4 linked regions of the Alligator mississippiensis genome follow. The protein of the gene in region 2 purifies or fractionates together with the protein of the main gene of each other region. This does not show direct contact. Links are inferred from orthologs where the notes say so. Each region holds a gene or a part of one and is shown on either strand. Other genes may lie near its edges. The genes, in order: G3BP2, DDX6, ATXN2 and AGO2.

Region 1 (7,695 bases), on a different chromosome or scaffold from region 2:
AAAATAGTGATCTAATCTAAGCACTCTACAATAGTTGTACATTTTAGACATTGCCAAAGGTACTAAGCCTTAGGTAATACCCCAAGTAAAACAAAGCATCCACCAATAAGCATATTACTGCAATACAGAGAAACATTTTGAAAGTGGCTCATAGAAGGTCAACTCAAAGTCAAAAACATAACATCTTGGGACAAAGACATTAAGAGGCTGATGAGCCTGAACACTTGGGCAAAAGGTGGCAACAGGAAGATCATGTCCTTTGTTTCTATGAAGAAAATACTGAGCACAATGATGGCGTTAAGGCAGGTTTTGTCAGCAAAACTCTTAAGAACAAAGAGGTTGAATTTACCTGAGAAAAAAAATGTAAGTGACAGCCTACTTAATAAGCTGCATACCTTTGTCAAGGATACATGATCCCAATATTGTTACCCAAGTTGCCCACTTTTCTTTTTTCAAGTGGCAATTTAAGTTTTAACTACCAGGACGCTAATTAGCTGAGGATCTGTTTACTCAGTAGTGTCCCCCTCTTCCATACCATGCAAAGGAAACAAACAAATGGGATCTTCATTTAAAGACAGAGCTGGAGAATACTGTACTAATAAGAGGCCTTCATTTTAGAACTTACTTCCACTGCTTGATCCAAATTAGCCTGAGGTTGGTCACCCTCCAAAGCAAGCTTGAAAGCACCTATCTTTACTTTAGCTGGTTGTTGCAGAGAGGAGCAGTTTGATAAATCTGCACATCTGTTGGACATGAGACCTTTAGTGGGAATCACTAAAGACACAAATTGACTAGGTCTCAAAGACACACATAAGCAGTCCCAACCTAAGTCAATGGGACTGCATATATTTTCATGTTTATGGAACTGGCAATTCCTTTCTTTTTTAATGGGATTCAGATATGATGCAGAGAGCACAAAAGTTTAACCACCTCCTAATCAAGGAACTGCATTTTAACTGTCACAAGACCTCATATAAAAGTACGTGATATTTCATAAATAACTGGAACTTCATCCGGGTACACACAAAGGTTTTATACCCGAGGACTGATAGAGGATAAATAAATCAATAGAAAATTCACTGAAGGAAAATATCAGGAAGCTGACAGCTTCTGAACTTGTACTGGGTTGCTAGGGAGAATCTGTATCCACCAATGTCAATACTACAGGACATTTGGAGTAATACACAGAGGACACCAATTTTAAGGCCTTACACAATACTGGAGTCAGAATTCCCAATCTCATTACAGTAGCTGCTCAGCAAAGCAGAGAGAGAGAGAATGGCAGCTCTCCTCCATAACAATCATCCTTACAATGATAAAGACCCTGGCAGAAAATTTTTGCCTACCCCCTAAGTTTTGCTGTTAGAAATAAAGGGCTTTTCTAGACTACAGTTAAAAAAGTGACTGCAATATAGCTAAAGATATACACTCAACCTAATTCAGATACTGATAACAGTCTGGCCAGAACAGCATGAATCTCAGCAAGTGCTGATTTACCCTGTAACAGAGCTCCATGCTGCTGAGGCTAGACATCTAATACCCAAGCTGGCTACATTAAAGCTAGCTAAGATCTTTCTAACTGCAGCCTAGACATAGCCACATATTATTGGCAGGGCTCAATGCATGTACCCTAAAAGAAAGGTTCAAACCCAGGTGGAAGACTGCACCACTCAGGTTTGCAGGGAAAGCCCTGCTGAAAAAAAATGAGCCTGTCAATGCAATGGAAAGACGATTCTGGAACTGCTCTTGGGCTGCACTCTCTGGACTCGGCTCATAAATTTCACTGTATCAGCCAATCTCTACCCACATCTTATCTGCATGCCAAATACTTTCTTAGTGATTCCATTCACTTTTTCTCCTCCATATCAACCAATGTGTTTCCTTTCTTGCAACATAATCCTTCCCTGAGATGTTTACACCTTCCTGTCCCCCCCCCCCCCCAAGCCCATCCCCTTTGTACTTCAGAGTCTTTATACAGCCACCACATTGAACACATTTTTGCCCTCAAGGCAGGAGCAGCAGTCCCCTGGAATTTCACTCTCCTCCCCAAGTCCTCCAGTTTGTCACTTGCCCGTTAGGAGCCGCTCAGAACCAAGCCCAAGATTTGAAGTGGGACTGAGAGCAAGAAGGAAAAAGACTAACCAGCTGCCAGCTTGGCCTGGGGCAAGGGGTGGGTCCTTGCCTAGCAGCCTGGAACCACAGGGGCCTCCTTCCTGCTCCGGGCAACTTAAGGGGAATAAAGCTATGCAAGGAGCTGAGCTGCCAGGAAGCTCCTCCAGACTGGGTGGGGGGCGGGGAACGGGACAGGGTCCTCCACCAAGGGCAGCTGGGCCTGCGGGTGGGCACAAGGCAGGCCCAGGCCGGGGAGTGGGTGGGGGGGCCTCAGCCCGGCCCAACGCCAACATCTCCTTCCCCGGCCCGGTTTAGGAGCGGGCGCCCATGGCACCGGGCTTGGGGCTGCTGCCGCCACTCCCGGGGCCGTGGGCGCCTGCGCCCAAACCGAAGAAGAAGGGAAGGGAGACCTGGAAGCCGCTGGGCGCGGGAACAAGGGCCGGTTAGACCCGGCCGCGAGGGACTGGGAACAAAAGCGGCGCGAGCCCCGCCCCGTCCGTTAGCCGGAAGTGCCCCCCCGCACGCTGGCATGTACACGCAGCCCGCCGGCTTCGCCGGGCGGCCCCGGCCCGGCGCGGCCGCGCTCACCTGGCGCAGGTCTCGGTGCGGGGCGGGCGTTCCCCGGAGCCGCCGGCGGGCGGGTCTGTGCCAGCGGGGCCGGGCCGGGCCGGGCCGGGCCGGGCCGCGGCGCGCGGGCAGAGCCGGGCGGCGACGTCAGCGGGGGGAGGGGCGCGGCGCGGGCTGCAGGCGGGCTGGCGTGTGGCCGCTCGGCGCGTCTCCCTTATTGTCTCACCCTTGTCTGCCAGGGCATGAGCCCCCGTCACCGCCTTTGCCCAATCCACGCCGCCCTCATTGTGACGTCGGCGGAGCGCTCACTTCCCGCCGAACCTCAACGGCGGCCACCGGCTTCCGCTCGCGTGACGTGAGACGCGGGTCGCGCGCGCGGGCCGCCTCGAGCCACGGCGGGGGGCGGGACCCTGCCGGCCAATAGGCCTTGGCGACTGCTTGTTGGACGGGGAAATAAGCCAACCAGCGACAGCGGGTGGCTAGAGCCCCCGGGTGCCCAGTAAAAAGTCTTCCCCCCCGCCCTGCGGGTTCTTCTCCGCGAGCGCGTTCGCGGGGCTGTGGCTGGTTTGGGGTCTCGCTCCGGAGACGCTCAGGCTCGTTTAGGAGCTACACCCTGCTCAGACAGTGGTTTACAACTACCCAACGGCGGCTGTTAGCTGAAATCGGGCATAAGCACCTTGGGGTTCAGACAGAGGTGCAGCTCCCAGCTGTAATTTGAGCCTGTTCTGCAAAGCGCTCAGTTACAGCGTTACCCCGACCAGACAGAAGTGCGCTGTTGTTGGTTCCAGGGGGAGAAGAATCTAGCTGGGGGAGTCGCAGCCAGGTTCCCATAGCAACAGCCAGGCTCTCTGCCCGTGCTTACTGGTTTCAGAATGGGAGGGGGGAAAGGCAGGGAAGGAGCTCCTTCCAGGGGCTCCCCAGGCCCCGCTGAATAGTGGGGTGGGTGAATTGGAGCCTCTGCGTAGCTGGGGTTTTAATATACCTGCCTGGCCTTGGGTGTGGGGGCTGAAAAAAACCCTGACTGATGCCTGCTCCCTTTCCCCCCTTCCCATTCTGAAAACAGCCACAGGCTAGGAGTTCAGCCAAGACAAGTTATAAAAGACACTACATTTTGAAACATTGTTAAAGGCAAAGCCTGCTGAATGCTGTTTCACTTAGTGCTAGAATGCTCATTTTAAATTGATACCTGATTTCACTTAGCGCTCAGCAAGTTTCGCTGTAATGCTCGCAGTCACCATCTTAGGTCATTAAAAACACTTGCAGTCACCACCTTGGATTCTCAAATACTTTAGGTTTCACTTAATGCTCCTTTTGCTTAACACTGGTTTTTTTGGGAAGTAATTAAGAGCACTAAGTGGGGTTTGCCTGTATTTGGTACCTCATGCAATGAGGGGTCAAATTTTCACCAGATGAACCAGCATGGGCACACTTTATGAGCGTATGCCGATGCCGATTGAGTGGGTGAAACCTGAGCTGGGAGACAAGAACAGCCTGGAGGAAAACCCCAGGGGAATTGGAAGTGACTTCCTGGGGCGGGAGAGAAAGAAGCGCAGGCACAGCATGCCCCAGCAGGGGCGATTGGTGGAAGCCCTATCAAATGCTGGCTTGGAGAAGCCAGAGAACTTTCTTGAAGTGCTGGCCTGGCAGACAAGACTAGACGACTGGATCTGGGATGACAAGGAGCCTAAAAGAGAAAGCATAAGAGAACATTAGAATCATGAGTAAATGGGGCACTGAGCCATAGTAACTGTTTTTTCAGCCCCTTTACTACCCCACGGAATGGGGACATCATGGACAAAGGCATAATATGCTTTACTGTTGCAGAAGGACTGCTCATTTATAGTTTTGTTTTGGGACACTCTGTTTTGTTTTGAGTTTTACAGCTAGAAACGCTTCAGAAGGCTGTTTGCCTCAACCTATTGGACAAGGAGCTTCAATGTTGGGTTAGCACTAGGTGAGGTGTAGGAGAGGCGCAGCCCCAAGGGATGGCAGCAGGTCTGGCTGAGGGCCAATGTTAAAGGGTACGAGACCACCCTCCCTTACTAGAATTTGAAATATCAAGTCGGGGCAGAAGAGAACGTTCAGTACCCTTGTAGGCTAGAAATGGCACGCCAAGCTGTCCTCCCAAAAGGGTGCCAAAACAGCCAGTCGTGTTGAGAAGCATAAACGTCCAGCCAAAGAACACGGTAAATTACACACACTCTTTTTAGTTTGAAGGCACCTGAATCCTTCTTTGATAAAGATTAGTACCATGATGTTGGAATCCATCCAAAAGCAAACTAGAAGAGCATGGGCAACTGGTGCCGCCTAAGTCAGGGGTGGCACATGCCCCTCCAGCGACCAGTCAGCAACTGGGGGGAGGGGGTCCCCCATGGCCAATCCTGCCAGCCAGAGGGGCAGGGGGGATCCCCCTGTGGCCCATCACAAGACAGCTGATCGCTGCAGCTGCTTGTGGAAGTGGCTGTGGCCGCTTCCGGGAGTGGTTGCAGCTGCTTCCGGGAGCGCAGTGGCACTCTGATCCCCAGCCAGCGCTTGCAGGGGGGCTGCCAGAACTCCCTGCCCGTTGCCTAAGCAGCGAGTTTTAGCACAGAAAAATCTAGGATTCCGAACTAGCCCAAACTAGGGATTGACACGACACCACGTTTGATGAGTGACAGAAAGGCTTTATTTACTACAAGTATTTAAAATCAAGTCAAGTGAGCCCAAACCAAATCAGAGTCCCATAATTAGCTATAACGTGATGATTTCTCGCCAAACGTGCGAGAAGGAGGCAGTCTGTTTCTCTACAACTTCTCAAGCAAGTAGATTTCTCACTCTCGGAGCGCACGTGCTGTTTGCTGTTTTACTGCCTTTTTATACCCTTAGTTTAGCATCTTCAAAGTATTCTTTTAGTCGTGTAAATCAAGAGAGAGTCCCAAGCAGTAATTGACAGGAAAAACCTGCTTATTACTGGTTATCAGAAATTTCTAATCTGAATGAATTACCTTCTTCAGTTACAAGAGGTTATCCAGTTTGGAACATATCAAGAAACTGATTAACAGCCAGGAAAAACATACTAAATCAGGAGGAGACATCTATCACATATGGAGAATGTCTCTTCCTGCACATAAACACGAGTTAGTTGCAAAAGAAATATTTACCATACTAATTAATCAAGGATAGACATTTCATATAGTTACACACCAGACAACTAAGTCTGCCTGAAATCATCCTGAATATAGGAAGATAAGCTGGAAGAGATACTTCATTATTCCTTCTCAGCTGGCCTAGCCATGAACTCACATCCTCCTGCAATATGCAGTTAGCATTATTATTCTGTATTTTAACTTTTGTGAGTAGGCCCAAGTTTAGCATGAGTTTTAGAGTCATCAGCGAGTGTGGCCGGTCAGGGGGTGCACCGGCACTCTCAGGGGGTGCCCGTGCACCCCCATGCACCCCTATGCATTGCCACTGTAGAAGAGCATAATGTCTTCCTATCAGCCTTTCTTTTTCGAAAGGCAGGTATGAGGTTTGAAGTTTCTCTATGGTTTCCATGGTCACCTCAGGTAAAGTGTGTCAGCGTGATCTAACCTGATGACCTACACTGTATGAAGGCGTTCAGTCAGGGCTACAGAAAGACAACATCATTGAAATGCCACCCTGAGAGGTAAGCTCAATAAAAATTCTGTCCCCATCTGATAGGAGCTACAATACTTTGCCGCAACTGGTTTGTCTTGAGGCTTTTTTATTGTTTCCATGTCTGATGCAAGAGAAGCATTTAACTGTTAGTCTGAAGTCAGGTAGAAGGTTGCCTTAGAGAGTAACTGGTTCAGGGAGGCATGAGCTTTCATGTGCAACAACCTGTTTGGTCAGAAGCTATACAAGAGCTATACAAGAGCTATACAGAAGCTATACAAGAGAATAAATCTAAGTGTCCTTTCATAGCATCTGATGAAGTAGGCTCTTGGGTATGAAACCTCATACCTCTCTGAACCTGTTAGACTCCACCCATATTTTACACAAGAAATGATTTTCTCCTACATTTCAATCTGTTTGTTTGCCTTCCTTACCCCTTTCTCTGGCATTTAGTTGTCTTTTATTTTTATGCTGCTCTGCCCCATTCCCACCTCTATGTGTCACAGCTAGTCAGTTCACTGTGGCAGAGAATCCAAGAAACACAGATAACAGCATAAGCAACTGCTGTTTTTTCAGATGAAATGAACCATGTAAAACTGAAGCGGACAACTGCCATTTCGAAACAGATCTATCAAAACCAAGAAGTTGGAGCTGGCTTAAAGTCAGAAGGGCTGAAAGGGGCTGTTTCATCCGCACCTCACTCCAGGCTTTGAGAAAACATACAGAGACACATTTCTTGACAAGCTTTCCGATGGCTGTCAGGGGAAGAAGCAAGAGCACAGATGGTCAGTGTTTATTGGGGTAACTTCACTTAAAAATCATAACAAAAATGTATGGAAAAGCCAACACTTCATTTGGAGGCAACTGCAAAAATGAGGACAGACATTAAGTACCACGCTTATGTAGCCTGATGTGGCAGAGCAGCTTTGGTGCCTGCCACTTTAAGGGCTTGCACAGTCTGTGAGAAGGCCTGTAGGTGTGAGCAGACACAACCAGGCAGTCACATGACAGCCAGGAGGCTGCCTGATTGGAGTAGGGTGGAGCAGCCTCAGTATAAGAGGAGCAGGGCTAGCAGTTGCTGCAGGGGTGTTGTTGGGGTAACATTGCCCAGCTTGAGATCTGCTGCTCCCAGAACACTTGGAGGAGAAGAGTAGGAACTATGGGGATGGAGGAGGTTCCTGGTCCTGGGCCATGACCTGAAACTACACCTTGCTGGGGTTGGATGGTGAGTATGGGGTGCGGGAAAGCCTCAGCCCCCACTGCCGTGCAGTTACCCTGTGGAGGTGAAAGGTAGGGGAGCATACCCTGAGAGAAAGGCACAGGGCCCAGGCTCATTAAGTGGGGCTTGCCAGGCATGTTGACAGACACCTGAGGCCTGAGTGGGCCACTGGCTAAGTTGGT
Region 2 (6,980 bases):
GACTAAAACTATCAGAACAAAATGGCTTTAAGTTTCATCACCTTGAAACCGCCAGCAACAGCATGGTACCTTGACCTAGGAGTGCATGGATACCCATCTTCCCCCTGCCTCACTTAGTATTTAAACAAGGTGCTGCTTGAGGCCAAGGCTCTCAAGGAAAAAAAACCAAACATAAAATGATTAAGAGGTTCCAGTAAGTTAAAAAGATAGTTGTCAGAGAAAAGCACTAACCTAGAAAACAAAGTATACTGCCATTTTTTTAAATCAAAGTTCACATTGCCAACATTATAATAAATTAATAGCAGTATAAAAAAAACAGTCTTCAACACAAGAAACCTAACAACTTTCCTCAATATCTGCAGCTTGTTTAAAACACCACATACATTTACGTAAATACTTACTTAATAGTGGTGGTCATACTCTGTGCTTGCTGTTGAGTGCCATTATTGATTGTGTTGGCATTTTTCAGCTGGTTCATCTGTTGCTGGGTTTGTGTGCCCCCACCTCCTGGGCCCCCACTGGGTTTTACAGGGCCTCTCAGCTGCCCATTCTGACTGGATAGACCCATTATAACAGGGTTCTCTGTTCTCGCCGTGCTCATGTTTGTTTTTAAAGATGTCTTTTTAGACTTCAAAACTTTGAAAGTCAGTACAGAAACTGTAATAACAGTTTATAAGACTCTCCAAAACGAAGAGATAAATAAGTCTTGCTCAATATATGAGTCCTTTATTGCAATGCAGGCAAGCACCTGTAAGTCACTCAACAGTAAGTAGTAACTTGCTCTGATGCACTGTGGATCAACTTTTTTAAAAAAAGCCCTCTAACAAAGTTGAGTTATATCTGAATCACTCACTTCAATCTGAAAAAGAAGTAAAAACACACAATTAACACACAGATCTTTTGGTGTAAATAACTCACATTTCCATATTTGACAGGACACTGCACACTTTTGGTATGAGACAGCACTTCCAGAACAAGTACACAGTACTTCAAATGAAAAATAAGTGCCACCAATGAATAGTGCTCCCCTTGTTATTTCTAACTGAACAAAGAACTAACATCTACTGGCACCTAGTGAAATTCTGCTTAACAAAAAAAGAGAAAAACAAAACAAAAAGAACAATAACAATCCTACTGCTTTCATGATACTGCATGTGAACTGCTTTGCAGACAGACATCCTGCAACACAGGCTCAAGTCATGCAACTATTTTACCCATCTTGCAATAAAGCTGCTTTTGAAGAAGAACAAAAGAAAGGGTTAACACCATATAATCATTTGTGACAGGAAAACACCACCACAAAATTTATCTTCTGGGAGGATCTGGGGAGTCACGCCATTGCTTGAATCACTAATTTAATATCTTAATGGGGGGAGAAGAGTGCACTGATCATTTGAAACAGATGTCCCGGGTACCTGTTAAGTCAGGGCTTAGGTTTAAACAAATAAGCTACTAGACATGCTTAAACTGCTTTGCTCACACCAAACCATCCAATGCCAGCTTCCTGGCTCTACTCTACTTCAGAATTAGAAGACATTTTTAATGGTTAACTTAGTACCTGCCTCAAATTAGAAATAAGATGCATTTGTTTTAGATCACTAGTTTCCTGTTACCTTCAAAATGCCAGTAAATGAACAAACACATGGTGTCCTCAGAGGATACATAGAAAACAAATGTAAAACGTAGGAGCATAGCATTGGGAAGGTAACGATAGTAAGCTAGTCAACGCAGTAGCTTAACACACACCCACAATTTGCACCCTGCAGGTAGAAAAAAAATGAATTTATTAAATAAACAGGGATGAAAGGACCCCAATTTGCAGCATGAAGTTAGGGGTTTAAAGGGCTACCACCTTTTCAAAACAAGACCTGCAAGGGTAGCTGTACAGGTTCGGTGTCACTGCACTGCCGCACTTTTTAGTTAGCCAGTGTAAACAGAAGGAACCTGTTGATCAACGCGCGCCCCACGCTGTTTATGACAGGTACGTGCCTTCTTCCTGCGATAAAAACCCACCGACAAGATTCAAATATAACCATGCTTAAAAGGGCAAAATCTCTGTCTGAATCTTCTGCCATCTCTCATTTCACAAACGAATTTTCCAAATTTAAAAAAATATCTATTTTCCCCAATTAGTCTTCCAGAGCACAGACTAAAGCTGATCTGGGCAGTGAACTAAAGCAAGTGACTGTGGTTCTGCCAGACACGCGGACTAAGCCCTGGCGAGAATTTCTTCCTTGCACATTTCAGCTGCAGGTACTTCACGTGTGCAAAGCAAACACAAGCGCAGTCCCGCGGGGACCGGGCGCCCATGCAGGAGGCAGCTGCGGAGCAGCGTGGGCCGGGCCGGGCCGGGCCGGAGCGGTCAGGCAGCCCTGCGCGCCCCGTCACGGGAGAAGCGCGGCGAGACGCGCAGCCCCCCGCCCCCGCGAGACCAGGGCCCGGCGGACCAGGGACGCGAACAAAGGCCGCGCCGCGGCACGAGCCGCCGCACCCTGGCGCCACGCGCTGCCCGGCCGCTTCTCCCCTAGCCCCGGCCCGGCCCGGCCCGGCCCGGCCCGGCGTCCTCCTCCCCACGCGCCGCATCCCGAGGAGACAAAGGAGCGCGGCGGCTCCACTCCCGCTGCCGGGCCTCGGCGCCCCCGGCGGGGCGGGCCGGGCCGGGCCGGGCCGGGCCGCGCCGCCCGTGGAGCTGCCTGCGCAGCGCCGGGCGCCCGCAGACAATGGGCCGCCGCCGGGCGCCGTCCCCGCGGGCAGCCCGGACACGGGCCGGGGCCTCCCGCCCGCCCCTTCCCCACCCGGGCCCGGCCCAGGCCCCGGTCCTTGCGCAGCGCCGCGCCCGAGCGGCCCAGCCTGGCCCGGGCCCCCGCGGGGGAGGCCGCAGCCCGCCGCGCCCGCCCGGCCCCGCTCACCGCCGCCGGCCGCGCCCCGCCCGCCCGGGTAGAAAATCCTCCGGCCGCCGCCGCTCGGTGCCTTGTTATGGCGACTCGACGCTCCAAGATGGCGGCTTCCTCCTTCCTCCCGGCGCCGCCGCCCCGCCCCTCAGCGCCGCCGCCCCGCCCCGCGCGTCACGTCGCGTCACGTCACGCCGCCGGCCCCGCCCCGCTACGCCAGCCTGCGGCGACACGCCCCCGCCGCTACGTCACGCCGCCGCGAGCCCGCCTGCTGCCACGTGCATCGGCCCCGCCTCGCCCGAGCCCCGCAGTGTCCGCTAGGGGCGCTCGCGGCCCGGCAGGGTCGGCCTGGCCCCCCCGGCAGCGGGAGCCGCCGAGTCCCCGGGCGCTAGCGAGGGCCCGGGCCGGGCCGCGCGGGGAGCGCAGGGCAGCGCGCGGGCCTGGCCGCTGCCCCCGGCCGTGGCCGGCGCTGCTTTGCATGCGTCTCGCTCCCGCTTTCAGTTCTTGTTTTGGTGCACAGGCCCCGGGGCTGCCCCCGCCCAGGTGCTCCGCACGCCACGCGCCTGCAGCTCCCGGGGGAACCGGCCGGGCCTTCCCAAGGCCCCGGGGACGTGCAGCTGCCGCTCCCCGGCCCGTTCCCACGGTGCGTCCCGCGGGCGGGCGGGGGCGCAGGCCGGGCCCGCTTCCCGCACGAGGCCCGCGCAGCGGGAACCCCGTCCCGGGCGGTGCGGACGCGCCTGGCCCGGCCGCGCGCTCGGGCGCCGGCTGCGTGGGGAGCGGGGCCGCGCCCGGCGCTTCCCGGAGCCGCCCCGGCCGCGCTGCCCTGCCAGCGGGGGGCTCAACGGCGGCAGGAGACCCGCTCCGCTCCGCGTCGGCCCGTGCGGCTCCCGTGCCTGGGGCTGCCACGGCCCCTGCCTCCGCCGGCCCTTCTTGCCTTGGGACGTGCAGTTGCGCGCCCTCCCTCTCGCACCCTAACGTTTCCCTCCTCCCAAGGTGCGGTGCCGCCGGCCCCCCTGCTTGGGGAGAGGCTGGTCTGTCTGCGGTGCCATGTGCCACCCTACTCGGGCACAAAAAGAAGACGGAAGAAGGTGAAGGCGAAGGCGCAGGGCTGGCCCCGTGTGACCAGGCAGGTCACGTTCTCTCACCGAGTTTCAGTCTCTCCCACTTCAAGAGGAGCGTGGAGAATCCGAATTACACGTGCGTGAGCGCAGCCCCGACAGGACGCGTCCAGTCCCTACTCTTGCAGGTGCAATGGCACAACACCCCTTTCATGAAACAATCGTGCCCACCTTAACAGTATTTTTCAGCCCTGCGGCCCTGACCGGGAAGCTGTTCCAGAACCTCAGTGCTGCAACAGTTAGAAACTGGAATAATCCACAGCCAGTTCATGCCTGTTTGTTTCAGAGCCAACGCTGTCCTGGAGTTTCAGATCGCTTTCCCTCCCCGTGTTTACCCCCTAGCTTATTTACAGGGCAAAATCCTATTCCCTCAGCTTTTGTTGTGCCAGGATCAATAAGACAAACTCAGGCTTCAGCTTTCCCATGGGACAAAGCCTGTTATCCTGGGGTCTTGCACACCACAAGCCCACTGTCCCACTTATAGTACCAGCAAAGTATCCGACAGAGAGAACCCCCCCTACCGACACACACTTGGCAGGGCCTCAGTCCCAGTTTCACGGCCATCCTTGTGACCCTTCTACGCATCTATTGCAGTTTTAATTAATCTTTCAGTGAACGGATGATCAAGTATTGTGCATGGTATTCTAAGGAAGTCTCGCGTGCGTCTTGTATGATGACACTGGTACGTCCCTAGCTCAACTGCAAATATCTTGTCTCATATATTCTCCAGGCAAGAATTTTTGTGGGTGATATCTTTTATTGAACTAACTGTCTAGCTGGGAAGGACACAGGCTTCCAGGTACCAATGTACGCTTTCTCAGGTCTCTGATAGTCTAGGATAGCATCTGACTTTTTCAAACTGTCTCACATTGGTGCCTGTCATTCCATGATTAACTAAACACCCAGATCTTTTTCCTCTGCTGTCCTTTCCCACTGATGAGCCCCTGCTTCTAGCAGACATTCCTGTTATTAGTCTCTAAGTGCATGACCATGCACTCTACTATTAAATGTCATCCCATTTCTATTGCTCCAGTCCATAAGCTCCTCCACTTCTTTCTATCTGACCCATATTGTTCACTTGTATTGAAGCTGCCTCGCAACTTTGGGATGACAGTGAAATCCATTAGCACACTTTCACTATTTTCTGCTGAAGTCACTCATAATGGATTTTAAATAGGACTGATTCCAGGACTTATCCTTACAGAACTCCACTAGTAACCGGCCTTCCGGCCCCAGACCTCCTCTTTCAAAACCTACCCGTTGTCTTCTCTTTAGTCAGTTCCTCATCTACCTTACAGTCCTTCTACAGATCCCTGTTTCCTCTGCTTCAGCTAAGAGTTTCCTAAGTGACACCATATCGGACACTTTACTAAGGTCCAAATAGATTAGATCTCCTGGGTTTCCTTGGTTATGTTACCAAAAAAATAAAGTACTAGGCTCCCCTGCCAAAATCAACCTCTGGCAAACCTATGTTCAATTGTATTCACTTTCCATTTACATCTATGTTTTCTATTCTTTTGCTCAAACATTGTTTGAAAGCTTCATCCTATGGAGGTCAGACCTTGATACCTCCCTTCCCTTATCCCCCACCGCCCCCCACCCTTCCTAAATGCCGGTACTAAATCTGTCGTTCTCCAGTCACACAGTACTATCCCAGACTTGAGACATTAACTTCCTTGCTGACAGAGGTCTTTCGGTAGCATCCTCGCTGACACACCTGGGATGTCAGGGGCTAGTTCTTTCAGAATTCAGAGATGGAGATTATTAGTCCCCATCACTCGAGCACTTTTAGCGCCTTGATTTTCTTTCCCACCCGTAATGTGGCAGTTTCCCTTTCCATGTCTTCATTTCTATTAGACTAACAGCAACATTTCTAACAGCAACATGCTTAAATGAAAACTGAGACAAGTACATGTCATTTTTGGATTATCTTTAACTTGCCTAAACCTCTGTACATAGCAGCTCTACTCTTGCTTTTCTTCAGCTCCATTTTTTTCCTTGCTGAAATTTTTTTTGCTTTGTGGTTTTATTTCTTTCCTTTGCAAGGTCTAACTCAGCTTGACTTTTGGCAATTCTTATTTTTATCCTTACATTTCCTGATAGCTAAGACACAGCTTTCTTGTCAATCAGCCCTTTTTCCATTCTTTATAGCTTCTCTCTTGGTGCCTAATACCTCTTCTGGGAGGCTGGACTGGAGCCAGGTTTTCTCCCCACTGGGATAAGAGGTCCATACTTTTTGCACCTGCCTTGTAAAGAAATTCCACGCTTCTGCATTCAAGTCCTTGAGCTCTTTAGTCCATCTAATTCCACTCATTCGTTCTCTTTGTTCAGTGGTTTTCAACCCCGGGGGTCTGCAAAAGATGAGTATGGTCAAAAGTACGTGAATACCCACCCCTACAATTCAAAGGAGTGTGCACCTCCATTCAAATGTTTTTAGGGGTCCGCAAATGAAAAAAGGTTGAAAACCACTGTCTTATTTCATCTTAGTTCTCAATGTTTTCCCTTTAAAAATGGAGTATCTTAATCTTAAAGACCTACTTTTGTTTATTCTTGCATTTAAAATACAACCAAATACATTTATTATTGCTTGACCCAACATTGTTTTTCAGGACTAGATCTCCTATAATGGCTTTGCTGCTTTTTAACTCATACCTTGTGGGGAAATACCAGTGCTGAGTTAAACATAAAGTTGGGTAGCATCCTTGTCCTTCCCCTCCTCGCCCCAACCTTATATACCATCTTTCTTTCAATAAATAGCTGTCCTTTGCTGAGGCCAGAGAGAGGGAGCTGGCCAGGGTGACAAAGCTCCTGTTCAAGCAGCCGAGATCCCCACCATGCTCTTCCAGAAGGAAGGTTTGGACTGAGCCTGGACTCTGGCAGCAGCAAATCGCTCACCCGACCTGAACTCTCCCCCGCAGGTTGCAGAGCATGTTTTGCTGACCAGCAAGCAGCATGCGCTCGGTCTTGGGAC
Region 3 (6,994 bases), on a different chromosome or scaffold from region 2:
CAGTCGCCTTGTCACTGAGAACTATCCTTAAAATCCTGAGCAAGACAATGATACCCAAAATTGTTCATCTCTTGAAAATGTATCTGATCATGATCATATATGTTAGAGCTGCTCATGCCCCTGTAATTTCTTGTTGATAGTCATCAATTCTGAATGAAAACTGATTTTAAAGTAGCTTTAAAAAGAATGGTCTAACCTAGGACTCGAATATCAGGGCCTGCGAATGCATGATTTGCTCTTGAGGATAAATCATTGTGTTCTTCAACAGCTGCTTAACTTGGCAGAATAAGACTAGCATAGTCTTGAACTCCTCTCCCCACAGCTAGATTGCTACGGTACCTGGTAGATGTGTTGTAGCTGACTTAAAGTATCCTTGGGTACTTAAAGACGCTGCCGTACAGAGGTTTTTAAAGCCACCTAGAGACCAGCGTCTTGACTAATCAGAAAGATTTCAGTAGTGCATAGCACAAAAGCAAATCCAATAGCTATCAAGCGAGTCAGCCTAGCAGCAAGGGAACACTTTTCCAGCGGTACAAGGATTATAATGGGGAGAAATATATATATATATTTTTTTTCTTTTTTTTTTTTCCTCCAATGCGCAGATATATAATATGCATGCATGGAGAAAAGAAAATCAAAATAAATGAAACTTGTAGCCTGCTCCAAAACTCCAGGTTCTCAAACTGCATTTGGAGACCTCCCAGGTGATCCATTTTGCTGACTCTGAAGCATCACCAGTCTTCAAGCACTGGCACTAACTCTGTCCAGGTCTGAATTCAGCCATTAGAGTTTATGGAGGCTTTTTTTTTTTTTTTTTTTGGACTGAGCTCACTGGCCATCTCCTCTCCATTCTTGAGTCAGCATTTTTTTGGGGAAAAGCTCAGTTGTGATCAAACCAGGAGGAATCGCCAAAATGGGAAAGGTTTCTGTTGATTTAGTGCTCTTGCTACAAGCTGAAGTGTGATCAGAATTAAAGTATATTGGGGAGGAGATGAGCTACCATCAATTTGAAGCCCTGCATGGAGGTAGGGGAAGCTAACCTTCTAGGCAAGAGGGATGCAGAGAACATGACCAATATACCAAGTGATAGAAATTATCTGCAGTGAAGATGTAGGACTCCAGCAAGGTTTTCCCATCAAAAGCCTTGGAGTGGGGTCGCAACAGGACCACTGACCCTCTTAAAGGCACTCGCTACGGGATTTTGGTAGACTTCACATGGAAGGAGGATTCGCTTGTCTTCATAAACCCCCTTGTGGATGTTGTCACTGAGGGTAAGTTAATTTTAATGGCTTTGTTGATGGCAGTCACTTATTTCCTTTTTTAATCTATTGGTATATTTTGTATATATGTGTCTTTTAATATACATGTATTTTTATTTTTACTTGGTCTCCATGCACAGTACAGTAGGGCAGAGAAGCAAGGGTAATAGACAATGGAAAGCAAACACAGGGCGCAGCAGTGCAAAGAACCACGCTGAAAGGGAAAACCAGTCCAACCGCAATCACGCAGCACTTAATGAAGTGCTGACAAGAGACTTCATGTTTATTTGCAAAACTGCAGCTCAACTATTGAACGCTGCCCCAAAGCTGTTAAATAAAATGTATCCCCATGTTGGGGTGCTCAGATTGGATCTCCTGGCAGGAAATCTATCAGGATTTATACAGTAACCTGAAATTGTATGTGGTTAGAATAATCTAGCATGCAAAAACATGAGGTAAAATGGCTAGTATTGGATAATCCTCGTGTGCCAGATTCCATCCAAGTGCATCTGACCCTTTATTTATCTCGCGTGCCTCGACTTTAAAATGACACCAGTATACACACAAATTGGACAGTCTTTTCTAGCTCCAGCTAACTGGAAAGGTCCAGAACATGCCTGGTCAGGAACCTAAAAGTCCCTCGACTGCAATTTGTATTGTAGCGAGATGAGGCCTTAACGCTACAGTCCTGTACGTAAGGCAGGGCTGGACACAGGAATGGGTAAACCGGGGGCTGGACAGAAAGGGGATCCAAAAATGGTAATTTAAAAATTATTATTATTATAATATCATCTCTGGCAAAGGGGGGGGCCTGATACTAAAAGTCTGCCCGGGGCTGCCAGGAGCCTAGGTGCAGTGCTGCCTTCCGGCAGCGTCCTGAAGAGTTTAGCCAGCTGTAGGCCTACTTGTTTCTTTATTTAAAAGTGCATGGTTCGACTAACGTTCAAGAGGCTTTCTAATAGCAGGCAGCGGGTGGCTGTACGTAGCGTAGTGGGTGCAGACGGACCGAGTTCTTCCACAGAATTGTTTAATTTTGTGGTAAACGTTGCTAAAAAACCTTTGTCAGCGGTAACTTTATCTCCTTCCAAGCTGCACGAATGCTGTCCCTGGCTTTCGATTTTTGTGGCCAAGAAATGACTAGCTGGGCATAAAATGGACTAAAGGGGAGAATTCAAGTGGAGTTTCTTGAAACGTTGGCTCCGCACGCTGCGAGCGTTTCCAATTAAAGAATTCCTGCTCCGGTGTCCATTTCGGCTGGCATTTCCTGTCCTCCAGCCAGTAATGTGTCACCACATCATTATTCAGGCCTGCAAGGTAAAACAAAGCAAGAAACTTAGGAGCCAAATGTACGAGGTGGGGGGGGGGGGAGAAGCTAATTTTAAGAAGCTATTAAATGTTGGCGTGTTCCTTGCGTGCTACCACCCACAGCTCCCCTAACCCTACGGGAAAGCAACCGCTTTGCGAGCAAGGTGTATAAATAATGCCTGCCTCGTGGCATAATTCCTCTTTATTAGACTCGAATCCTGGGGGATCACGAGTCTCGACGAACGCCGCCGGACTTCTCGCGGGTTTGGCTATCCGTCCACTCGGCGGCAGTCCGGCAACTACACGAGCTCACGCTAATTACGGACGCTGACTCCTTAAAAATTATTTAAGCGGGACAGCCCCAATTTTTTTTCTCGTACGTATGAATTAGCCGCGCTCGGAGAGAACTAGTAACCAAAGTCAGTGCAACCAGTGCCACCAATGCATCCAGCCTGAGACCACGAGTTAAAAACGCCAGGCTTATCATCGGACGTAGCGAGGATGCTGACGACGATGATGATGATGTTTGTTTTGAGGTGAATTGGCCTGTCAGGCTCTACAGCAAGATTAAACACTGCTTAAAAATAATAGCCCTGGGGAACGTGAGCCCTGAAAGCTGGCGATCCAGGACGATAATCCCCGCTGAGCCGGTTTGGCTTTCAGCTGGAACCGGAGGTATTTGGTGACCGAGCGCCGCAGCCGGTGTCCGACACCAGAACCGGGACAAGCCCGCGCCCGTCCCCGCCAAGGGCTGCGAGGCGAGGCGAGGCGAGGCGGGCGAGTGATGGAGGCCGCTCTCCGGTGGCAAAAGGGGCAACTTTTGCCCCAGACGACGGGGCAGAGACGCGCGCTGATGTCCGAGGTGTTTGTGAGTGACTCGCGCCCCGGCCCCGGCCCCGAGGGGGAAGCCGGGCCCCGTGCTTCGTGCTTCACGGGTGGGTGGGCCGCGGGGAGCCTCGTGGGCCGCGTCCGGGCCCGTGCGTGCGCGGAGCCTGGCGCGCATGTGGGGGAGGCCTGTGCCTGAGGGGCGCGGCGCCGGGGGCGGCGTGCGGCCTAGCCGGGCCCAGCGGCTCCCCCGCGGGCGGGCGGGCAGCCGGGCCGGGCCAAGCCTCGCGGGAGCCCCCGGCTCCTCCCCGCGCCTCACGCGGCCGCCTCACCGCCCGGACCCTTCCGACTCGCCCCAAAGAGTCCGGCCGGCGCCCCCCGCCCGCCTGCCTCTCCCCCGGGCGGGCGCGCTGCCTGCCCCGCGAGCCCCTCGCTCGCTCGCTCGCTCGCTCCGTGGAGCCGGGCCGGGCGCGGGCGGGGCTGCGCTCGGCGAGGCGAGGCGAGGCGGGGCCGGGCCAGGCGGGCGGCCGCAGCGTGCCGCGTCCCCTCCCCCGCGGATCCCTCCGCCCCGCGCCGCCCGCCGCCCGCCCGCCCGCGAGCCCGCCCGCCTGGCCCCGGCTCCGGCTCCGAGTCGCGCTGTGGCAGCGAGCGGCCGAGGCGGCGGCAGGAGCGGCGCGGCCATGTCCCTCAAGCAGCAGCAGCAGCAGCAGGCGGCGGCGCAGGCCCCCGGCGGTGCCCGCAAACCCCCCGGCGGCGGCAGCGGCGGCGGTGGAAGCGGCGGCCCCGGCTCCGGCTCCGGCTCCGGCTCCGGCCTGCCGGCGGCGGCGACACCAGGCGGCGGGCGGCAGAGCGCGGGCAGGTGGGTGCGCTGCAGCGCGGCGGCGAGAGGCCATTTTCCCGGGCAGGGCCGGGCCGGGCCGGGCCGGGCCGGGCCTGCCTCGCCTCTGCCTCTGCCTCCGCCGGGGCCATGTTGCGAGCGGGGCGCCTCGGGCCCGGCCTAGGCCGCGCGGCCTCCCCCCGCGCCCCGCGCCGAGGTGAAGCTGAAGGACGGGCCGGGCAGCGCGGCGTCTCCCCGCCGCTCCTCTGCCGGCTTATCCCCCCCATAGCCGCGGGGGCTCCCGCAGCGGGGGCAGGCGTCGTCTCCCACCCCGCGCCGCAGCCCGGCCCCGGTGCTGGGGTTGCGGCCCCGCCGCCGCCGCGGAGGACGGGCACCTGCTCCTTTCACTTAGGGGCGGGCACGGCCCCTCCATCCGTGCTAGCCGGCCGGCCGGCCGGCTCCTGACGTTTCTGCGGCGATTCGGTGCGAGTATCTCGTGGGGTTGGGTTGGGTTGGGTTGGGGGCGTTCCCGCCTGGACCTATTTATTAGATGGTTCCCTTTTAAAAAGGGGCAAAATCCAGGTGCATGAGAAGTAGATGGTCCCTCCTTGACACCAGACACAACCCAGGTGCGTGAGGAGCAGATGGTCCCTCCTCGACGAGCAGGGCGGCGTTCGAAACGCTTCGCCGTGTTTCGGGGCGCGCGCCCGCGGGACGTGGTGCCGGTCTCTTCCCTGCGATGTAAGCGGCGCGAGGAACAAGCGCGCGGCCCCCGTGGCCAAACGTGACCGGCGGCGGGCGGCTAGTCCGCGTCCTCCTCATATCTTCAGCAGATCTTCGTACCCGGCGCGGTTTTATCGACGTGTAGGCAGGACGGGTGACCCGCGAACAGGCACCGTGCGAAGGGACGCGTGGTTATTTCTCCGCGTTTCTCCCAGCGGGTTTTTTTGGCGTTTGTTGACACGTTCCCCCTCCAGCTGGGACCTGTTTTGAGGTGCCTACAAGTAGAGCCGCTGGCGTGGCGCAAACTCCCCATTTTTAATCTTTTTTTGCTGTCGTAGTACTTGGGGTCGGGAGGAACCGAAACAGATCATCAGTCCGACCCCCTGTTTCTGGACTGTCTGTGTAACTGGGCCCAGTAGTCTTTATTAAAAAGGAAACGCGGTGAAAGTACTTGTAAAAATAAATGAATAAAATAATAATAATAGTTCTCACCAATAAAGAGAGAGAAGCTGAAACATATTCACAGATGTTAGATTTCACAGACGTTGGGGCTGGAAGAGGCCTTACAAGATCACCGGGTCCCAGTGAATTCGGGGTTTTCCAGCTTGCTTCTCGCGGTTCAGGCAGAGTCTCTGCATTTGCCCTTTCCGCGGCGAAAACTGGGTAGTCGATCTTGCTTTTCTCCAGTCTCCTGTAAAAGGAGAGCAAGATGGAAGATGGCTGTCCCACCTGGATGCAGCTGGTCAGGAGTATTGGGCATGACCTCTCCCAGGTCCTGCGGAGGAGATGGCCGCTTTAGAAATGAAACCCACTTGCGGAGAAAATCAGAAAGCTAAACCATCCCTTTATCCCGATGAGCCAATGTGCACAAGCGTGTGTGGGAAGCAACTTCCAGTGACCACTAGACTCCACCTTTGTTACAGTAACTACTTCACAAGACATCAAGGGAACTATTCATACTTCTGTTTTCATTTGAAACCCCCCATATGCTGCACATTGCATCAGTAGCTACTTCTCATAGTTTCACAGCTGTCAGGGGCTGGAAGGGACCTCGCAGATCATCGGGTCCAGCCCCTGCTCTAGGCAGGAAGACCACTGGGGTCAAGTGACCCCAGCGAGGTGGCTGGCCAGTCTCCACTTCCATAGATTTCATAGACATTAGGGCTGGAAGGGACCTTGGAAGATCTTCAAGTACAGCCCCCAGCCCCTTTAGGGAAGGGTAAGAAGGCCTTTGCTCAGAGGACCTGTTTAGTGAATTTTGTCCTACCCCTGATTTTAGTACCTTTCCCAATGTCACCCTTTCTCTGCCTCACTTCTTCCCGATCTCTAAGACCCGAATTATTTCCGTGCTTCCACTTCTCAAGGCTGCTTCAAGGTTTAACTCGATTTTTAAAGTATGGTGCATTCCTCTGAGAAGAAGAGAATTGCACATGTAAAAGAGTTAGCAGGGATACAGGGTCTCGGAGGCCCAAGTTAGTAATAAACCACAAATATGAAATGGCACAGAATTTTCTGAGTAGCCCCAAATTAAATTAAAGTAACAATGTTAAATTATCGGACAAATAAATGGGTAACTTGTAGGTCATTTTAAATAGCGACTAATGCTCATAGATAGTGATTAGTATGGTGTTGCTTGCATACTTTCTCGTAAGCTTTTTAATCAACAGCATGAGCCCCTGACCTGTAGTAATTATGAGGAAGGCGCGTCGATGCCTGTTATAGCAGCTGTCAGAGAATGTGTACTGTAAATCTGACCTGGTGTTCTCTCTTCTCCATATACATGGAAGGGGTGCTAAAAGAGGACTAGCTCTTGACATTATTAATGTATTTGTAGAAAGTCTAATGAAAAGCCTCTCCCTCTTTTTGAGGGGGGAGGCTTTAATTTTGCACCTGCAATATGTGTGTATTTTTATGAAGGCAGTCTCATTTTGTAAAATACTGAATTGAAATGATGTAGGTAGGCTTTCACAGAGGCTCTGAGTGGATGCAGGCCCCAACTGAGAACCTGAAAAAGTACAGTTGTCTAAGGTATTTATCAAACAAAAGAAACTGGTTTGCAGTTTCT
Region 4 (7,762 bases), on a different chromosome or scaffold from region 2:
CCCTTGTCACTGCAATCTTATCTAGCACCCAGTCATAGATTTTTCTGTGCAGGGAATTCTCACTGTTATTCAAGAAGGCTGCACTAAAGCATACATGAATATAACAGCAAGTCTGGCATACACAGGTCAGCTGAGTTTGCGCTATAGCAACTACTTCATACTTCGAGCTGTCCCTAAGGCTATACAGACTGTTGAAAAAATATAGTACAGGTGTTGACAATATTAACACATACACTACAGGAAAAAACAAGTTCGCAATATAAACTTTAAACAGTGCTGTATATTACTATAGTAACAAATTTAAAACTATCATAACACAAACTGAGACACAGAATAGCCATTATATCTGTCACTTCCTCATTTACACCTGGCACTACTGAAGTTCTCAATGCAATTTGTTCTTTAGATAAAGCAATGCAAATTCTGCAATGGATATGAAAAGACAAGACAGTTGACACTATTTAGGGGCAAGCTCAACAATCCTGACACTCTCAGAAGAAATAGTTTAATTCCAGGTCAGGCAAATCTGTCTATTAGAATTAGAAGATGAGAACCAGCATCATCATCCCATGCTAGTCCATCCAGGTAAAAGCTTTGACTCTCAAGTCAAAGACACCCATTTTCTCCATTCTCAATCACTTCGAATTCTAAACAAAAAAGGCCATCGGGTATCCATCTCTGCACCGTGAGGGGCCATGGACTGCTCCGGTGCACTCCTCAGCCAGTAAGTGCTGTGGTTGACTAGATGTCTCTCATACTATACGAAAAACGGACACCAAGAGCTCTCCTTGAAATAAAATGAAGCCTTGTTCTGGGGCTGCGGAGGCATGGGCAACATGCTGTTTTCAACTCTAAATATTTCAAGCTTGTCAACATTATGCATGTTTATCACTCCGTGCAAAGAAAACAGACTGCAGAGATATTCCAATATTTTGCTGTCATTCTTACTCCAAAAGATATCATTTCTCTGATCCGCTGTGCAGGACCAGTGGATCAAAGCAGCACCTTCTGAAGTAATAGCTGCAGCAAACAGCTTGTCTTTCATTCCTTAATCTACTACTGAGTGCAAACCGCAAACTGAATGATCTGGATTCTACGCCTCATCTGAATTAGGATATAAAACCAGATTCTGACCAGTCACACCAACACACTAAAAAACTTGAACTGTTGAAGACATTTACATGAGTTGAAAAGCAAACATGAGAACCCCTAAGGTATATCACCAAGCTGCAAATAGATTAAAATAATAGCAGAAAAAAGCAACCCTTTTAGGCATTATTATAGCTCTGTTACTAGCAAATGAACGGTAATAACTTAGTTTTTTATACTCCTAGAAACACAGTGACTCATAAGAGAGAACTTGGTAAAACTGATTTTTTCATATTTGGAAGTAATAAAAGCATAAAGTTCATCCATTCTTTTTTCTTCTGCAAGCAAAGCCTGTTATAAAAATCAGACTCTTCTCTTCAAACAGCGCATCACCAACAGGGAACAAGAGGCTCAGGTGAAAAGTAGAAAGCAAGAGGAAAAACAACCCATACATTGTGTAAGTTTTACAATTTGTTTTTAAGGGCTTTTTAGGAGGTATCAGGGCACCCTAAAAAGAGTAAAACTATCACTAAATTCAGGCATTAAACTAGCTACATGTTTTATTATTAATTAATCTAAAAGTATTCAGCGTTTTATTTAAAACTGCACTATAGTCCAATGGCTTCAGTCAGCAGATGTCTACAAATGTTTTATCTTTTTTGTGTCAAGGTAAATTTGTAAACCAGTATAGATAAAAACCATAGCCCACATACAATACTGGTGCAAGAAAAATGAGTACGAGATGACAAAGTAGTTTCAGACTTTGCCAAATAACTGTACTCTTATAAAGTTAAGAGCACATCACTGTGAAAAGACGACAGAAATTAAAGTCCCTCTTCACAACAAGCTTTTCCTTCTTTTTTTTTCCCCCCCAGAAGAGATTAGGAAAACATTGAGATGAACATTAAGACTGACTGACGCCTCTTGTTCACACTTCCTTAATTAAAGATTCTCTCTCTCTCAACCCAAGACTAAATTTTCACGTTTAGTATCAACCAAAACGTAGTCTCTCGTGAAATCAATGTATTTTTACGTTGCTCCGAGAAACCCAGACAACCCCGGTGAAGCGAGAGAGATGAACATGGCAGAAGGATAACGCCACGCCAATCTGAGCGGCACGGCCCGAGAGGCCAGACGAGCGACGGGGTTTGAGAAGTCAGGTAACGACACGGACGTCGATACGGCGGCTGCAACGTCTCACAGGTCGGACTGCGGCGAGCACACACTAACCAAGATGTGGCGACGCTGGCGTCCAGCATCGGGGTGGCACTGCCCGGCTCGCCGCCAGCCCAGCTCACAGGCATTTTTTCTTTTTTTTAATACGAGGCGTAGGAGCCGTGTCCCCGCCGCAGCGCGGGCAGACGCGCAGCAGCAACCTCTGCCCCGAGGGGCGCGCGCCTTGGACCCTGCGCCCGGGAAGGGAGGGCAGGAGGGCCTTGCCCCAGGAGGGACGCCCTCGCCCCCCCATCCTCCCTGCGCCCACCCCCAGCAGCGCAGGAGCCGGTGAGGGCGGCAGGGGGCGAAGCCGCCTCCAGCTGCGGCAGCGGGGAGGAGCCGAGCACCCCCCCCGCCCGGCCCGGGACCCCGCTCCGCCCCCACGGAGCGCGGGGGACCCGCCGGCTCGGCCCACGCCTCCCCCTGCTCCGCCAGGCCCGCAGGGGCCTCCCTCAGGCGGCGGCGGCGGCCTGCCCTGCCCTGCCCTGCCCCCACCCCCCTGTCTCCCTCCCTCACGCGCGCGGCCATTGCGGAGGCCCCGCCAGGCCCGGGCGGGCGGGCGGGCGGACTCACCCGGCCCGGCGGCGGCGGCGGCGGCTCCCGGGTACATGTCTCCGTGCGCGGCGCGGCGGGGCGCGGCGCCTCACTCTGTCCGGGTCAGCGGAGCCGAGCCGAGCCGAGCCGGGAGCCGGGAGCCGGGCGGGTCGGCGGGGCCGCGGAGGGGGAGGAGCCGCCTGGTCACGTGGAGGCCGCGGAGGGGGCGGGGCCGACGAGGGGAGGAGCCGCCTGGTCACGTGGAGCCCCGCCCCGCCCCGCCGGCGGGAAACGGCCCCTCAGTCCGGCGCGCAGGGGGCGGGTGGGAGCCACGTGGAGGGCGGGCGCGGGGCCCCGCCTTGTCACTGGCGGGGGGAGCGGGAAGGGGGGCGGCCCCCCCGGGCTGGAGCTCGCTGCCGTGGAGCCGCACACGGGGCACGTCGCTCCTCGCGGCCCGGCCTCTCCCGCCTCCACTTCCCGTCTCCGCTGCCTCAGGTCGTGCTGGCTCAGGCGAGCAGCCGGCGCCGCCTCCTCCAGGGGGTGTGCTGGGCCTGCCTCTGCTCCTTAACCCCCTCGCGGGGGCCGCCGGATCTGCGTGCCCGGGCTTGCGACCGCGCTGCGCCCACGGCCACGGCCCCTCCGCCTCGCCCCGCGCGCACCCCGCTCTCCGGGGCAGGGGCAGGGGCAGGGGCGCGGCCCGGGGCGTCTCTGCGGTACGTGCGGAAACGTGAAGGTGGCCTCTCGGTTACAAACGAGCAAAGGACAAAAGACTGGAGTAGTGCTGGCCCGGGCTGCTGCAGCAACTTCACTGCCGCAACAACACGTATGAAATGTACGTACACAACGATGCGTTTTATATATATATATATTATACATGTACACACACAACAAATATATATATCTATAGATATAGATATATAACAAATATTACACGCACATATACACACACACACACACAGAGCAACAAATATAAAATATATACATACAACACCCAATATCATAGACTCATAGATGTAGGGTTGGAAGAGACTTTGTAGACCTAGGCTGACCCCTTCCCTGGGCAGGAGAGAGAACTGGGCTCAAATGGCCCCAGCCGGGTAAACATCAAGCTTCCTCCTAAAGCCCCCCAGGGTAGGAGCCAGCACCGCTTCCCTTGGCAGTTGGTTCCAGATCCTAGCCGCCCTGACAGTGAACTAGCGTCTTCGGATGTCTAATCTGAATCTACTCTCTAGCAACTTATGGCCGTTATTCCTTGTTACTCTGGGAGGTGCTCAGGGGAACAAGGTCTCTCCAAAACCCCGCTGGTCCCCCCTGGTAAGTTTATAGATGGTCACCAGATCCCTCTCAGCCTTCTCTTGTGGAGGCTGAACAGGTTCAGGCCCCGTAGCCTCTCCTTGTAGGGCCTGCCCTGCTGCCCCCTGATCATGCGGGTGGCCTCCTCTGGACCCTCTCCATGCTGTCCACATCCCTCCTGAAGTGCGGCTCCCAGAACTGGACGCAGTACTCCAACTGGGACCTGACCAGTGTCGCGTAGAGGGGGAGGATCACCTCCTTGGACCTGCTCGAGATGCATCTGTGGATACACGACAAGGTACGGTTAGCCCTACTGACTGTTCTCGCATTGGCAGCCCATGTTCATCCTGGAATCAATAATGACTCCAAGATCTCTTCCTGCCACTGTGCTGGCAAGAAGGGAGTTCCCCAGCCTGTAGGTCTGCTGCTGGTTCCCACTGCCCAAGTGCAGCACCTTGCACTTGTCAGTATTGAGTCCCATCCTATTTTCATTTGCCCACCCCTGTAACCTGTCCAGGTCCTGCTGTAATCTGTCCTTCCCTTCTTCCCTTCTCACCCCAAATCTTGGTGTCGTCTGCGAATTTAAACAGGCTGCTCTTCACCCCCTCGTCCAAGTCACTAATAAAGATACTGAACAGTGCAGGCCCAAGGACGGAGCCCTGGGGGACCCCACTGCCTACTTCCCTCCAGGTCAAATATGACCCGTCCACCACCACTCTCAGAGTATGACCCCTCAGCCAATTTGCGACCCATCTGACTGTGTAGGCATCAATGCCACAGTCACCTAGCTGTTTAATGAGGATGGGATGGGAGAGTGTGTCAAAGGCCTTCCTGAAGTCCAGAAAGACTATGTCCACGGCGACACCTGCGTCCAATGATTTTGTGACCTGATCATAGAAGGCAACCAGGTTGGTCTGACAGAACCTGCCTCTAGTGAACCCATGCTGGTTCGCCTTGAACATCATCCCCACTGCTGGCCCATCACGGATGTGCTCCTGGATAATCTTCTCAAAAAGCTTCCCCAGGATTGAAGTAAGACTAACAGGCCTATAGTTGCCTGGGTCCTCCCTCTTCCTTTTTTTAAAGATGGGGACCACATTGGCCCTCTTCCAGTCATCCGGCACCTGGCCAGAGCACCACAAGTGCTCATAAAGCCGTGCCAGGGGCCCCGTGATAACCCCTGCCAATTCCCTCAGCACCCTGGGGTGGAGAGCATCTGGACCTGCTGATTTGAACACGTCCAGCCCCTCCAGAAGTTCCCTAACTTGGTCTTCCCTGACCCTAGGCCTGTCAGAGTCCCTCCTGAGTCCATCCTGAATCTCAGTAAGGGAGTCCCAGTCCCTGCACAAGAAAATAGAGGTGAAGAAATTGTTAAACAGGTCTGCTTTCTCCTCTGGTGCAACCACCAGATTGCCTAGTCCTGCAGCAGCCCCACATTACCCGGGGCCTTCTTCATTCTATGTATTTAAAAAAGGACTTTTCGTTGTCCTTGATCCTTGATGCTAGCCCTAGTTCCGTATTTGCCTTAGCTTTCTTAACAGCCCCCCTACAGAACCAAGCGGTGGAGGTATACTCCTCTTTGGTGATAGCCCCTCCCTTCCACTGGGTGTACGCCTCCTTTTTGGCAATCAGGCATTCACAAATGCCCTTGGTGAGCCAGGGGGGCTTTTGGGCACTCTTGCGCCCCTTGCTTCTTGTTAGGATTGTCACCCCTTGGGCTCTGAGTATCATCTCCTTAAGGAACGACCACTCATCTTGGGCACCCAATTCCCCTACTCTCCAGGACCCTAGTGCCTCCCTCACTAATCTCCTTAGCTCATTGAAGTTGGCCCTCTTGAAGTCAAGGCTACTGCCTTACTGCAGGCCCTTGACATCCTGCGCTGGATGGTGAATTCCAGCAAGCGATGATTGCTATCGCCCAGGTGGTCGAGGACCTGGAGTCCCCTCACCAGGTCATTGCCTGTGGCCAGAACCAGATCCAGGAGGGCATTCCCCCTGGTGGGACTGTGTACCTCCTGGGTTAAGTGGAGGTCCTGTATCTTGGCCAGGAACCTCCGTGAGCAGTCAGACCTGGCTGACTGCTCCTCCCAGCAGATGTCCGTGTAATTTAGATCACCCATGATGACTACATCCCTTGCCTTAAGTGCCTCCGCAAGCTGGCCCGAGAATTCATGGTCCAGCTCTTCCCCTTGGTTGGGAGGTGCATAGTAGACCCCCACCATTAAGTCCCTTTCCTCACAACCCCCCTGTATTCTGACCCAGAGCACTTCAGCCTGCCCCTCCTCGGACCCCATCCTGCTGGTAGAGGATGTGTATTGCTCTTCGACGTAGAGCACCACACCCCCGCCTTTCCTCCCCATTCTATCCCACCTGTATAGCCTATAGACCCTAATGTTGACTGCCCAGTCATGGGATGAATCCCACCAGGTTTCTGTGAGCCCCGCTATGTCCAGGTTTGAACTAGCTATCTGGAGGGCAAGTTCCTCCTGCTTAAGGACAAGGAGGAACCTGTCCTTCCCTTCTTCCCTTCTCACCCCAAATCTTGGTGTCATCTCCTTCAGCTTAGCCCCCAGGGCCTCGAAGTCCTTCATGATGCAGTCTGGGTTGCCTCTGTCCGCGTCATTTGTTCCCACGTGGATGAGAACCATGGGGTACTGGTCTGACGGTCGAATGTAGGCTGGGGTCCTCTCTCTGATGTCCTGAATCTGAGCTCCAGGCATGAAGCAGACCTCTCATGCCACGGGGTTGGGTCGGCAGATGGGACCATCCACTCCCCTTAGGATGGAGTCCCCAATGACGAGGACCTGGCGTTTCCTTCTCCTGATGTTCCCTCTCTGCACCATCTGTGTTGTGCGTGGAGTGGCATCGTCCCCACTGGAGGCATCCCCTTCGTCCTTCTCCCTCATGGCTGCCAGGGCCTTGTATCAAAATACAAAGGACAATAGTAACTCCTGTGGCCAGGCCCCCAAAATGTGTTTAACTATGAAGACCTGTTACTATTTTTGCTTATTACGGTCACTACTAAATTTGTGTTTTTCTATAGCTGGAACAGATCAAATAACTTCAGGGCTCCAGAACGCTACAAGGCCAAACAAGAGAGGACCTCTGACATGGAGCTGAAGAGCCAGGTGGCAAGAGGAAGAGGGAGAGGAAATCTCATCGGTGTGTGTCTGCGAGCACATGCACACCCACACTAAGTCAACCTGCTCTATTTATGTAGGTTGGAAGAAATTAGACAACTTTCTCCCATGGTACGTGTGCTGCTACACCTATTGACAGGCAGGCTTATTGAACTACTCTTATTAAACTACAGGAGAGGGTGGAAATACCTGTATGCTGCCCTGTCCTCAGTCATTGTTTCCCTTTGTTTATTGCTTGAGCAGATGAGGTGGTATGGTTTAGATCACTGCTCCAGGCATATAAAATTGAAGTGGGGTCATCACCTCACTTGCAACCATTTCAAACATTGAATTATTCATTACTTTTATTGCTGGTAAAAAAAAAAGATAGGTAATGTGACAATAATGCATGACATCAGACCCTCACGGACAGCATATCAACTAATGCAAATGAAAGTACATGAATACACCACATTGCACACTACAGATACTATTAACACAGACATCTCAAT

What was found.
Region 1: the proteins of DDX6 (region 2) and G3BP2 purify together in Homo sapiens (affinity purification with mass spectrometry; 3 studies listed by BioGRID and IntAct, with this or other methods). This does not show direct contact. The link is inferred for Alligator mississippiensis from reciprocal best matches to the Homo sapiens genes DDX6 and G3BP2.
Region 3: the proteins of DDX6 (region 2) and ATXN2 purify together in Homo sapiens (affinity purification with mass spectrometry; 6 studies listed by BioGRID and IntAct, counting the BioPlex papers as one, with this or other methods). This does not show direct contact. The link is inferred for Alligator mississippiensis from reciprocal best matches to the Homo sapiens genes DDX6 and ATXN2.
Region 4: the proteins of DDX6 (region 2) and AGO2 purify together in Homo sapiens (affinity purification with western blotting; 5 studies listed by BioGRID and IntAct, with this or other methods). This does not show direct contact. The link is inferred for Alligator mississippiensis from reciprocal best matches to the Homo sapiens genes DDX6 and AGO2.

What each region holds. Positions count from the first base shown.
Region 1 is NC_081825.1:164,553,015-164,560,709, reverse strand, and holds the start of G3BP2 (ras GTPase-activating protein-binding protein 2), read right to left. Parts: upstream 3,007-7,695; 5' UTR 2,924-3,006; coding exon 2,906-2,923; intron 2,897-2,905; exon of another isoform or gene 2,701-2,896; intron 1-2,700.
Region 2 is NC_081839.1:35,215,511-35,222,490, reverse strand, and holds the start of DDX6 (probable ATP-dependent RNA helicase DDX6), read right to left. Parts: upstream 3,018-6,980; 5' UTR 2,910-3,017; intron 860-2,909; 5' UTR 602-859; coding exon 402-601; intron 1-401.
Region 3 is NC_081833.1:3,641,573-3,648,566, reverse strand, and holds the start of ATXN2 (ataxin-2), read left to right. Parts: upstream 1-3,978; 5' UTR 3,979-4,069; coding exon 4,070-4,248; intron 4,249-6,994. UniProt on the Homo sapiens protein: Involved in EGFR trafficking, acting as negative regulator of endocytic EGFR internalization at the plasma membrane.
Region 4 is NC_081826.1:7,730,717-7,738,478, reverse strand, and holds the start of AGO2 (protein argonaute-2), read right to left. Parts: upstream 3,012-7,762; 5' UTR 2,915-3,011; coding exon 2,878-2,914; intron 1-2,877.